Medicago truncatula: one gene and its partner. The protein of the gene in region 1 binds, or shares a complex with, the protein of each later gene. Links are inferred from orthologs where the notes say so. Each region holds a gene or a part of one and is shown on either strand. Other genes may lie near its edges.

Region 1 (7,389 bases):
AAAGGTGCCATGGCAGGCCCAAAAAATAAATTTTACTGAATTATATACCATTTTCCATTTGCACATGTTTTCGCAGTGCCGGTGGTTAAATACCAACCAGGGCACGGTATCGATCCTGGGTGAGTAATTTTTGCAATTTTACACACCCTATCAGGGAAAATACACTTCTCTACATGATATAGTATCTCTTCCGATAATCCAACTCATGGGCCTTGTTACCAAAAACATATTTGCCAGCATGCTACAACAAAATTTAATATAATTAAGAAATTTAATGTGTATAATTTCAAATTGAGTTAGCTATTTAGGCTCCCTCAAAGAAGTGGATCGAGCTCCATCACTGCCTTTGGATATTTTAAAACCTAGAGCAATACAATTCCAATTTCCAACAATGAAAGGGCCACATTCAAGGTGTGAACTACAGCTTGTTCATGGAAAGAAACTATTTATAGTATTCTGGAAAGTCAAACATCAGAATGTAACTTAGCGGAATAAAAATATAGACCATGAGTAATCAAATTCATAATTATTTACGGCAAGTAGTCAATTTCATAATTATGATTAAAAAACAGAATTATCGATCAATTCTAATACAATCAAAAGGAAATTAATATAAATCACCTGATTTTTTCCATATCCTTGGGTGTGTTTAGGTTCTCCATGTTGTTTGGTTCGACATGAAGTGTATAGTCTGGGCCAAAATATTCATAATACTCATTATATGGCAACTTGTTACTAGGCTCCACTCCTACTGCTACGGCTGTCTAAAACAGAGAAAAGGACAAGCAGTAATTAGTAAATAACATAATAGGCGACCATGACTAAAATACATTACATATAATCCTGCACAAGTTGAGAAAGAAAGGAACCTCATAACACCAACAGCGAGCAACATTCCGTACAGTGTATCCTCCCCCACCCAAGACCATTAGAGGAACATTAAAAGACCTAAGGAAACGAAGGCAGTCTGCATGACCCTTCACAGATAAGTTGAAGCAACCCAACCTGTCACCGGACAAAGAATCAGCTCCACATTGAAGAACAACTGCATCAGGTTGATAAACATCCATGACTTTTTGCATAATGGGACGAAACAGAGCACGGAAATTCTCATCATCCATTCCATCATTCAATGGAACATTTAGAGCATAGTCCTTCCCAGGGCCCACACCAGTGTCTTTAATATGCCCAGTTCCAGGGAAGAAATCACCAAACTTATGAAAAGACACAGTCATCACTCGATCAGTAGTGTAAAATGCCTCCTCAACGCCATCTCCGTGGTGGACATCAATATCAACATACAGAACACGCTGGCCAATAACATAGTGAACAACAAGGTCAGAAAAAGAGAGAGAAAAAAAAAATGTGATAAAGACAACAAAACAACGAAAACTGACATTAACATTACTAGCATGTATCAATTCCATTTTGTTTTTATGTTTGACAAAAGGAATGAAATATAGGTCCATCAGAAATGTGGCGGGTCACTTCACTGCCACTTTAAATACACCTACTTATATATTTATATATCAAACTAGTATAGATCCAGTGCTCTTGATCGAATCCAAGAAAATGACGAAATACAGAGGTGTTAAATTCCTTTGAGTGTTAATAGGGGACAATTTTTCTTATAAAAATACAACGTGAATTCCTTTGAATGTTAATGGGGGAAAATTTTTAGTATAAAATTACAACGTGAATTGCCGCTTATAGCACGGACACTTATCATGATAACCGCTTATATATAAGCTATTTCTATAGAAAAAGATAAAATTAAAGTTAAATTGTTTTCGTATAAGCTGTTTTCAAAAGCTACCTTGGAGAATTTATGAAAATAGCTTATGAATGTTATAAGCTGTTTTCATAAGTTCTCCCAAACAATCTCACAAAATGTGTATCAATAATTAACCTCAAATAAGTCAATCCAAACAAACCCTAGGTATATGAAACAGGCCTTAGGTATGAGTCACCACTTTTATATATCCAACATTTTGGCCATTCATAATCGACGCGGACTAACTACTCACAATTTTATAGTCATGCCGCGTCCAAGATTGTCATAAACTATCTTGGAGAACAAATGAAAATAATCTGAAAACTAACAACGTCTTAAGCTATTTTCATAACTTCTCTCACACAGACTCACAACTCTTGCATATCCAATATTTTGACATATCAATGTGGGACTAATCACTCCCAATTTTATAGTCACACACGACTCAAGTCCTGTCTAAATGCAAATCTAGGGCACAAACACAAACCATGAATGTGTAAAAAAACACTTATGAGCATAATATTCATAGTTACTTAACAGAATTACAAAAAATAACATTTAACAAGGTATAAACAAAAAAAATACCCTATGAACTTTGAGAAGCTCAAGAATCCCAAGAACAATGTCATTAACATAACAAAACCCAGAAGCTTCAGCTTTCTTAGCATGATGCAACCCACCAGCCCAATTAATAGCAATATCAGCGTCACCACGATTAAGCCTAACAGCAGCACCAATAGATCCACCAGCAGAAGCCTGGCAGAACGGAAAAAGCCCGTCGAAAACAGGACAATCCTCACCTACGTTAAACCTCTTCAACTGCCGATAATGAGAGTGTGAATTATCCGAAACAATCTCCGGCGAAACGGAAGAGAGGAACTCGACGTAATCATCAGAGTGAAACCGGCGGATATCTTCCGGCGCAGCGGCGAAAGGACGGTTAATTTGCATACGACGGTGGAGAGAGTAGTGGATGATGAGATTGTGTGCCATGCGGATACGATGGGGTTTCATTGGGTGACCTTGACCGTAGTAATAATCACCGATGCTTGGTTCGTAGAAGTAGGTTACGCGACGCTTCATTGCGTCGGCGCCGATTGAAGGAAGTGATGCGCCACCGCTCTCAGCTACACCCATTTCGCCGCTGCCCATTGGAAATTCTTCTTCAGAAACCCTTCTTCTCCCTCTCGGTTTTTAATAACTCTGTGCCTTGACACTTCGCATATACGCACACTAGTGTTGGGAATAGGCCAGGCCGGCCTACAGGACCTATTGTCTGGCCAGTTTAAGTCTGTCTGTTTATTAAAAAGGTTAGGCTTAGACTTTTTAAAAAGTCTATTTAAGTAAATAGGTCAGGCTTAAGCTATCAAAAAAGTCTATGAAGCCTAATAGGTCAGCCTGTTTATGCATATTAGGCTTCATAGTGACTTTTTAAATAGGCTTTAAAACTTTATAGTGAAATAAGTTTTTAAGGCCTTATAGTGATAGACAAGTCTTACACTGAAATAGGCTTTGAGGCCTATTAAGCCTATTTAAAAGTAGATAAAATGGAATGTTTGATGACTTTAATAGTAAGTAGGCCTGTAAATAGGCTTTCAGGCCAGGCCAGACCAAAAAAATAGGCCTATGAAAGGCCATAGGCCAGGCTCAGGCCTGCAAATTTTTTCGTAGGCCAGGCTCAGGCCTATCAAAGCCTGACCTGGCCTGGCCTGGCCTAGCCTATTCCCAACCCTAACGCACACAGCTAAAGGTTTAAATTTATATATAAAATTAGACTATAATCTAAAAGGTATACGTCACACAATGTAGATAATTGAGAAGATATTTTCGATGTAAAATTATAATCTAAAACGTCTACGTAGATGTTAAAGAAGATATTTATCTACGTTGTGTGACATAGACGTTTTAGACTATAATTTTACATCGAAAATATCTTCTCAAATATCTATTTTATGTGACGTAGACGTTTTAGATTATAGCATCATCTTATATATAAATTTAAACTTTTAGCTGTGTGCATATAAGCGAAGAAAAGGTTATTAAGAACCGAGAGGGAGAAGAAAGGTTTCTGATCTACGTTTGATGTAAAATGTTTAGGCTAGAGGAAATTGATTAGGATGTTCGCAGTGTGGTTTGGTTCAGTTTTAAGACTAATAGTCATTTGAAAAACGCAAGATAAAAAAAGTATGTGGGTTGGTTTAGTTGACTTTCAAAATTAAAACCAAACCAATGTGATTTTGGTTGATTCGGTTTTTTACAAGACAAAACAATCTTTTTGTTTCCAACATTAAGTTAAAAACGACTTATCCTCAACAATGTTTCAAATTTGATCCAACACTACACTTTCATCCGACAATGTTCCATCAACGTGGACTAGATTAAAAACATGGACCAAAAAGTAACCTATTCGATAAGAAATGCAAAAGACTAATATTTTATCATTCTCTAAAAGTTTTTATTGAGTTTCTATGATTTAAAATATATCTAACATTAACTTATAAGCAAAAATGCAAGTAGAATTCAAAATATGATTAGGGTCGTAAAGTTCATTTGATGAACTGGGATATGGATTGCCAACCTAAGAATTATGGCGCAAAGTTCTTATCGGCAAGTATGATAGAAATAATGATCTTATGGTTTCTTGCAACTTTCAGCCTTTGGATTCCCCCTTGTTGAAAGCTTTAGTAGGAGTTCAAAACGATTTCCAACACAATGTTTTTAGACAACTAGGGGATGGAAGACATACAAATTTTTGACTGGATAAGTGGCTTCCTAACAGGAGCGAGCTCCCATTAGTTTTCCATAATTTCATTGATATTGCCCTTAATGTGCAAGATGTTTTGAATCAAGAGGGAGATTGGAACCTAAGTTTTTTGCATGATAAGTTACCAACCATAGAGGCATCCATACCAAAGCAAACTTGTTCAAGCATAACATCACCCTTGACCCAGTTTGCCCTCGTTGCAACCAGGCTACTGAAAGCTTAGACCATCTTTTTATGAAGTGCGATTGGGTTAAACGGGTGTGGTTCTACTCTGATCTAACTATCAATTTTGAAAACACAGATACCAATACTTTTCTAAATTGGCTAGATTACATGCTTCACAACACATAAATTGAACTCATAACACATATAACAGCGATTATCTATCACATATGGGAAGCCATAAATCTTTTAATCTTCAAAGGAATGGACATACCTGCTATGGAAGTTTGTCGCAAAGCTCAAACCGCAATCTCGAACTACAACCTCGTGAATAGGCTTCATCAACATTCAAAGACCATCAATCCTCTGGGATGAACTGCCGTAACACTGGTTGGACTCCTCCGGCGAAGGGTGACCTAAAGCTCAATGTGGATGCTCACTATTTGGGTGATGGCCATTGGGGTTTAGGTCTTATCCTCTGTCGCAAGGACGGGGACTCCGTTGTGGTAGAGACTAGGGAGATCATGTCTACGGAAGATGCAACTGATGCAGAGGCTCATGGAGTTTTTGAAGCCGTTAAGCTTATAAAAAGGATGAATCTAAGTAGGGTTGTGATTGAATAGGACAACCAGATGGTTGTCTCAAATTTAAACACCGGAAATTTCTGCAGGAAATATTGGGGGGAAATGATGAAAGAAAGTCATGCAGAGTTAAAGAAGATGAACATGATCAGTGTTAGATGGATAAGGAGATCTAGTAATCAGACAGCGCAACATATAGCTAGATGGGTCGGGTCTGAACCCAATAAAGATTGGACCCAATACTTTCCTATTTGTATAATAACACATATCCAAAAAGATATGAGTTTTATTGTTTCTCAATAATATTGTTGATTTTTAGTGTAAAAAAAATATTGTGAATCAAGTGGTTCCTTTACCAACCCCAATAGATGCAGATGACTCTGATGTTACGGGATTGGAAGCCACTGATACTCATTGGTTTACCATTTAAAGTGCTTATAGGTTCAACGTGGAGATGTTCATGTATTGGAAGGAGAATGGAAATCTATGTAGGACTGGAAAGGATCTCATCATATCCAAACTTTCATCTGGCTCTCACGTCCCAAGAGTGCATCTTTACCATCTTTATAGAAGCAAGTGGGGGATGGGCATATCTCCACTTTGTACTAGATGTGGAAGAGGAAGATGAAACTAACATTCATGTGCACCAAAATTGTGTCTATGCAACTCAAATATGGCTCTTTCTTGATCCATTTAATTTTATAATTGATTTATTTACTTTTTATTGCAGGGACCAAATTTTTAATAAGAGCTAGAAGACCATTTTCATGATAACTTGATAGTTCTTATGGACGTGGAGAAACAATGTTGTCTTTGAAAACAATTTTCACCAGTCAAACAACCTTGTCATGGTGATTCAAAACTTTATAGGAGAGATAGATATTTGCTCAACCCATCCACCTTATTGCAATCTTCAAATAAAAGAGACAATTCATATAATATGGGATAAATCCCTTGAAGGTCGGATAAAACTCAACAGTGGCGATGCTTGCAAAGGAGGTGGAGAGAATTCACGTTGTCGTGGCCTTTTTTGCCACTCTAATGGAATATGGTTAAAAGGTTACATTAGGAAGATTAGAGTGTGTGACACACTTCATGCTGAATTATAGGCCATGTATCTTGGTTTGGCTATGGCCTAGCGAGAACGTATTCTTCAATTTATTACGGAAAGTGACTCTAAAACTCTTATTAACATGGTTACCGGTAATTGTAAGTTTAGTAGAGTCATTCCAACGTTAGTGCGGTGTATTTGCAACATATTGGCTTTTGATTGGCGTGTCCATTTTAGTCACACTTGGAGGGAGGAAAACCATTATGCTGATTGGCTGACGACCTTTAGCTTTTGTTAATTTAGACTCTTTTGTTGTTACTAGATTGGAGTATACACCTAGCGATCTTCAAAGGTTTCTTTTTTATGATATTTTTGGGGCTTGTTCGCCTAGGCATGTCCAGCTAGTTGTTTGGTTTTCTCTTGGGCATTTGACCATCATTTGTATCAAATAAAAAGAATTAAATTAAAGTACATAAATACATTGTTGAAATAAAATAAAATAAAAAAACGTAGTAGAAATTTAACAAGAGAAAAAACATGTCTTAGTCAAAAAAAATAATTGAAAAAACATTTTATTTATAAAAATTTCAATTGAATTTCACTGAGTACTAGACTGTGTGACAAAAGTTTAATTAGTGTTTCTCTTGTGTTGTGATTTGTTTTGGTTTGAGTCGATTGGTAAAATAAAACCGCAAACTGAACTGTGCGGTGTTGAGTAAAAAAAATGGTCTGAATACATCCAAATTAAATACGGTTTTTAGTTTGGATTGGTTCGGTTTAAGGTTTTTTATTGGGTTGGTTCGATTTAAGGTTTTTTATTGGGTTGACTCAGTTTTGAACACCCCTAAAATTGATTTAAGAATCAATTTTGACTTGAGGAATTTTAAGTCAAGGATGTGTTGATACCTTCTAGATTGCACGAGGTTTTGATGAGTACACAAACATTGACTGACATTGATGTTAGTGTGTTGTGTGATTATGTCTCCCGCCAACATGAAAGTTGCACTATAAGTTTTTAGCTTGACTTTTCAACATGTGAAAATTCATAGCGTGATTT
Region 2 (6,825 bases), on another chromosome or scaffold:
TATAACTCATTGGTATGGTTGAGAAATAATGTTTTATAGTGTAAAACAAAAGAAACAATATAAGTTAGAATAAAACACTCATACAAGGTAAAGGATGCCGCCATCAGTCATGATAGCGCGGAAAGTAAAGGTTGTGAGACACGCCTTTAACCACGGGAAAGAAGTTGTTATTTTAACATGATCAATATGGCTATAAATTTATACTCGTCACTAAATTAGCGTCTCTAACACATAGGGATGAAATCAAACAAAATTCACATTTTTTTCGTCAACTTATATCTAGTATAAATTAAAGTTTATCTTCTGTACAACGATAATAGAAATATTTGTTATACACGACAAATATCCAAACAGATGTGTGTGTATATATATATAAATTTTTAAATTGCAATACAAATATCTAAATGATGGAAAGTAATTTAGGGCATGTAAATCTATATTAACTCTCCGAGAGCATAAAAATTAAATTCTAAAAGTGACAGTTCTCATGTAGTGCTTATTAACACCATATGTTTGACCAAAAATGTACCATCGTAATTGATTAAAAGAAGATAATATACTGTTTGCTAATAGTGATAATCTTTCCATGGAGGAAGAGGAACCCTTCACTTATTTCTTCTCTCTGTAGAGATAGTAAAATCACAATAGTAAAATATTGGTCAGCTACTTCATAACTTCATTTAGACGTCATATATATATTTTTTCTGTCTACAATTTTGTAATCATATAAAACAAAAAATAAAAATAAAAACCGATTCGAGCTTTGACTGATGAACAAATTTGTCTTTGAGTGTCCATCAAAAATGAAGAATGAAGGTTGAAATCTTCTCTCCAGCTAGTAATGTCAAAACTCCTTGAAAAAGAGAAAGAAATATATATTATAAATAAAATTCTTGATTATATATACATATACACACAACACAAATATATATAGTTGAATTAAAATATTTTAAATATTCATAGTTTCATTCATATACTAAACTCATTCACTATAATTTAAAGGATTTAACTATCTATTTTCTTCTTCAAAAAAAATAAACTGTCTATTTTATAGTTTTAGGCATAACAAATTATAATAGAATATTTTCTAAATTAATTAGTTTAGGTGCAGTATAGTATTACATGAGGAATGGCATACAATTAAAGCATTGAAGAGTCTCTTCCAATGTTATGATTGCATATTTCATATGCAGTTATGTGATTCAGTGATGATAGGTGACAGAACAAAATTAAATAAAAAGAGCATTAATTTATAAAGTAAAAATAAAAAGCATTAATTATTACCTATAGCATTAGAAACCCTAGCTAGGAGCGGTTAACAGTACGGCGGTCGTCACCACCACCACCAGCAGCACTATGATGTTGAAGTTGATTGATCTGTCCTAAGCTAGCAGATATATTCATAGCCAAGAGACTAGCATCATAGTTGCTCCCAATTCCACCATCAAAATTTCTAACCAAATTATGTTGTTGATGTTGATCCCTTGGAAAAAACTGATGATGTTGATGATAACGATGGTCACGGCCGTTACTGTTATTACCACCACCAGCAGTATTTTGCGTGTGGTGGTAATTACCTGCAGCGGCCGTGACAGACTCACCTGTCATGCCGGTTATGAGTCCATGACCGGCAGTAGCTGCCGCTGCGATACTCAAGTTTTGAAAACGAGAAAGTTCGGATTTAGCACAATAAAGATCCATCTGAAGCTGACGAAGTTGGTGTTGAAGGAGAGAAATTACACCAACACAACCATAAACAGGATCTCGAAGTCGCATCTCAGCTTCATAAGCAAGTGAATTCACAGCATCTTCACGTTGGTGAGGGTGTAAATCATTGAGAAGCTTTGTAACATTGCTTGCTCCAAAAATTCTATGAACATTTGCAAATTTTTGTGGCTGATCAGGTGGAAAATAAGGTGCAAATGCACATTCTGGTTGGCATTTTCGGCGTAGAAACTTGCATGCTGCACATGGTGAATTTGAGGATGCCATGGTAGTTTGTTTTTGTCACACAAACAAACACTTGTTTTTCTCCTTCTCTTGTTCCTCTTTTTTCTGTCTCTCTCTCTTTCACACTACCATTAATTTCTGTGATGCATTCACCATGTTTTTGTTTGTTATTACTATGTTGTAAAATAATAAAATAATGGTAATAAAAAATTATAAAAGGAAATAAGAACTGATCCATTAATGCGTGTTATATGGCTAATTCCATTATTTTACGGTCTTTTTGGTAAATCTATTGTTTTAAATCACACACACTCTTTTCCTTTCTTTAAATTATTATTATTTTCTTTTGCAATTTATGACTAAAAAAACTATGTCGAAATTTGCTTACCCTTCACCACCACACTTTGTGCAGGTGTTTTTTTTAATATATATTTAGCTAGCTTATATCATCGACACTAAAATATAAACACCCTTCTTTAAAAGTTCTTGAGAAAATAAAAAATCTCTACTAAGGGGAAGAATAACCACAAAAGAAGTAAAAAAGACAAAAATAACTAGCAAGAATGTGGTTGTCACTTCATTATTAAATCCATATCTCAACAAAATATTTATTATTCAGCATGTAATTTTTTATAGAAGAAAATTGCAAATCCTCCCATACAATTTTTTCAGACAAAATTGTAAACTTACTCTCTCTCAACTCACACACAATTGCAATTTATACAAGGACTAAATTCCAAACCTGTCAATTACAATTTTTGTATTGAAAAATTGTAAACCATCTCATCATGACACACAAGTTTCCAATACATCAAGAGACAAGAGACGTTGTGGCGAAGAAAACTCAAAATTAGATCTCTATTTATACTAACTCTCAGTTTATTTGCCTACTACTCGTCGTTGAACTTGAATGAATATCCACTTTAACCTAACACTTTTGTCTTTGATAGGAACACAAAAAAAAAAAAAAGAGCTAGAGGAAATTTAGGGTATCTTTAAAAAGCATTTTTTTTGTTCTTCATAAGAATCGAACTCACTTTCTCACGAACGATTCATCCTTGCTGAAGTTCATTTACTATATCTCAATTGTTTGGTTATGTTAATTTTTAGTATGTTAACCGAGCATGTAATTTTTTCGCCGTGTAACAGTACGGAGAATCATATAATATATGATTTGAAACCTATAGACTTCCTTCGGATTACTAGAAAAATTAGAAAAATTTAAAATAACGACAAAAGTTCAAGAGACGAAAAAGGATAAATTGTGTCTTTAAATTTAGTGACTAATTTAATTTTTTGGTTTCTAATTTTTTTCGTTATTTCAAATCTTTGGTAGTGTATATATAATTCTCAGACTCCTTATCTCATTAAAATAACAATACAAATAAATAAAAATGATGATCATTGATTCATTTGGGAGATCCAAGAGAGAAAAAAGAGCTAGCAATGGGATTGAAGAAAGTATGGAAGTTGACAAAAACAATGAATAAATATGCATATATAACTAATTTTCAAAGATTCAGTTACAACTGGAATTTCATATCCTCGGACAAAATCCTTGGTCCTTGTGTTTCTGGCTGAGAATTTGAAGACAAAAAACAATGGTGAAAGTCATGTATATGAGAAAGCCAGCGTTGTCTAAGGAAAATAATGAAGTTGATTAATGTTTGATGCCAGAAGACACTTCCTCGTGTGAGAGGCAAAAGTTATGGTGCATAAGGATTTTCCTTATGCACCGTGCATAAACACTTCACAACCATCAAATCTAGTGTACACGTTTAATAATCCAAGGCTTCTCAAACTACACCAAATCAAACTTCATTTGCTTCAAATATTTCTCTCACTAAAATATAAAACTCTCCCTCTCTCTCTACAATTTTCAACATTCTGGAAAAGAAAACGAAGAACTCAGATGAGTCTTCATCTCTTCCGGCCACATATGATGATTCTAACGCGCGGTGGTTGCTGGCCAGAGGCGGCGGCGGCGCCGTGCCGGAGAACCAAACTCACCCTTTTTAAAAACTAAAGCCATTTTCCAACATCCATTTTCGTTTTAAAGCCAAATCCGAACTCGGATCGTGCAAAAATACAACGAGAAGGAGTAGATCTAAAGATTAAAACACAAACAAAATTTTCATTGCTTCACTTGTTGTTGAGCCGGTTCGCTCCTCTTCCTCCCTCGTGTTTTCTTCTTCGATCCAGTGGCGTTGTGTTGATTGCTATATGTTACTGTTTCGTAACTGTTTGTGTTCACGGTTTCATATCTGAAGTTGTTACTATATTCGAAATCTTTGTGATGTTGGAGGGGTTTATAGCTGAGAAACTACTGGAAACCACTAAGTACATCTAAAGGTTTTGGAGAACAACTCACAGAAACCATTTCTTTCCTCCTCCTCCAATTGTGTCAGTCCAAAACTGAATGATGGCAATGACTCTAGGTCCTTAGTTTTTTTAACCTGCTGGAAACCATTAAATACATCTAACGGTTTTGGATTACAACTCACATAAACCATTTTCACAGCAAAATGGTTTTAGCATAATTTTATACAAAACATAATATAATAAGAACATTTGTGACTATTATTGAACCAAATCAACATTCTGAAATCATCATTATTGAACTAAAATGATGATTTCCGCGGTTGTAGTGTTGTTTCGTTTGGTTTCGCTTGGGGGTGTATGAAACAATTATGTTGGGCTATCGGTTAATGAGTTGGGATTTATGCACGGTGCATAAGGATTTCCTTATGCCCCATAACCGCTCCCCGTGTGAAAATGTAAGCCGACTTGATATTGTGTACGTTACAAGTGTGTGCATATAATACTTCTTTTTTTGCAATTGTGAGGTTTCGAATTTTGTGCATATAATATAATAAATAATTTAGAGTACAAATATAAATTTTACAGGATATTATTTCATTTTGTTAAATATGGCTACGTGTTTTTCTTTGAGTGCAAATAACATCTCCAATCGTCCCTACGTAAGAAATAAGGCAAATTCTACGAAATCCATTTGGGGTTGGTCTAGTGGTTGGTTTGGGATCTTGGATTTTGCTCCTCCAGAGGTCTCAGGTTCGATTCCCTCTGGTGCCAATTTCGGTGGGCTAAGTCCATACAGAGCTTGCTCTGGCTTTAAACGGGGCCCCCGCAAGTGGGCGGTGTAATTGGTCCCCTCGAATTAGTCGATTCTTGGATCGGATGCCGAGTTTAAAAAAAAAAAAAAAGCAAATTTTACGGCACACTCAAAAATTCGAGTGTACCGGTACACCATATCATCAAATTAATATTGAAACGAGTTATTGTTATAGTTAAATGAAAAAATTCGATAAAAACATAATAGAATATAAAACTCGATAAAAACATGATATGATATAGATATGATAAACATTTATCATATCATGTGTTTAATACATGCATGATAAAAAATAGAATATGATAGTTAAATGACAAAATTAGCCAAGTAATCGATTACATATTTTAAATAGTTTAAATGACAAGCCCATGTTACACAAAGAAAAAATTACCCATGTAATCAATTGCATATTTTAAATACTAATCAGTGTGTCACGTGTCACCTTTATTTTAAGAGTTATGATACATAGATACTCTTAGATGGCAATACATCCCTGGACATCCACATAAAAATCTGACATGTGGTCACGTGGACCCTGCACAAGCACATTTTCTCTTTCCTCTCCTCTTCTCTCTTCCTAGAATATAGGATGTACAAAAGTGTATGGAAATAAAGGGTGTCTATGTAACATTTTCCTTATTTTAAAAAATAAAATAAAAAACAAAAAATTCATATATAAGATAAAGAAGAAAACCACTTGTCACATTGTGGTTATCCAATGTTACGTGACATTGACACCACAATGTCATTGATAACTGGAAAATAAGTTGGTTATCACATTGCACTTAGCCCCCATATTGGACAAGTATTTGAGTGATTGCATTGACTTAAGTAATAGTTTAATCAGTGTCTATTTTAGGATTTTATAGTTTTAAGTATTTTTAGTACTTTGGAGAGGCCAGGTTATGGTTAGGGTTAACACTTTAGAGATCACATTCCATCTCATCTTCTACCATAGATGAGCATGGTGGCTAGATTCTAAAGTTCTTAGAGTAGATTACTTGGTGACGTTTTGACTCACCTTATTCCTTCAAAGAGTGTAATCTTGTGACAACTCTATCTATTCTATTAATTTAGTTTTCTATGCTTTCATTTATCTTCATCTTCATTTCCATTTCCATAGTTCATCTCACCATGAGCTAAACCCCTTTGAGTGATTTAGACATGGTGAAGTTATGATTTATTAATTTACTTGCGATATATAAAGTTGTAGCGTCATGCGATTTATTAATTTACTTGCGATATATAAGTGATTCCTGACAACTTTTACTTCTAATGATATAACTTGCTTTCTTAAAAAAAAAATGATATAACTCGCTTACCTTAACAAAGTAAGGAGTGGAAAATGTTTATTCGATATTATTTTGCCCTTGAGCACCATTGAGTGAAAGGGAGTGGAATCTTGAATGTAAAACTGACACTATAGGAAGTTATATCTCTGTGAATCTCAGTTGGCTTAAGAGGTTAACAAATAGCCATAGTGTTGAGAATCACCATATGCATACCACGCTATAGCTTAGTATTACATTCACTATTTGTCATATGACAAAGGATTTGTATATCCGCACCTCATGGTGAAATGGCAGGATCCTAAACCAAACCAACTGCACGTGTTAATTATTGTGTCTGCGCAGCGATTGGAGACAGTTCCTTTATCTGGTGATAGGGTAAAAGGGTGATGGTCCGCCCTTAAATAAGGTGACTTCTTGTAGCTTAACACAATGGTTCCTATAGACCATTTG

The links.
Region 2: histone deacetylase 6 (region 1) and protein ASYMMETRIC LEAVES 2 share a complex: the UniProt entries of both Arabidopsis thaliana proteins name them as parts of the AS1 repressor complex. The link is inferred for Medicago truncatula from reciprocal best matches to the Arabidopsis thaliana genes HDA6 and AS2.

What each region holds. Positions count from the first base shown.
Region 1 is NC_053044.1:38,122,762-38,130,150, reverse strand, and holds the start of histone deacetylase 6, read right to left. Parts: upstream 3,003-7,389; 5' UTR 2,927-3,002; coding exon 2,360-2,926; intron 1,311-2,359; coding exon 870-1,310; intron 765-869; coding exon 622-764; intron 1-621. UniProt on the Arabidopsis thaliana protein: Responsible for the deacetylation of lysine residues on the N-terminal part of the core histones (H2A, H2B, H3 and H4). Might remove acetyl residues only from specific targets, such as rDNA repeats or complex transgenes.
Region 2 is NC_053049.1:15,631,699-15,638,523, reverse strand, and holds protein ASYMMETRIC LEAVES 2, read right to left. Parts: upstream 2,100-6,825; 5' UTR 1,993-2,099; coding exon 1,306-1,992; 3' UTR 1,285-1,305; intron 854-1,284; 3' UTR 513-853; downstream 1-512. UniProt on the Arabidopsis thaliana protein: Negative regulator of cell proliferation in the adaxial side of leaves. Regulates the formation of a symmetric lamina and the establishment of venation.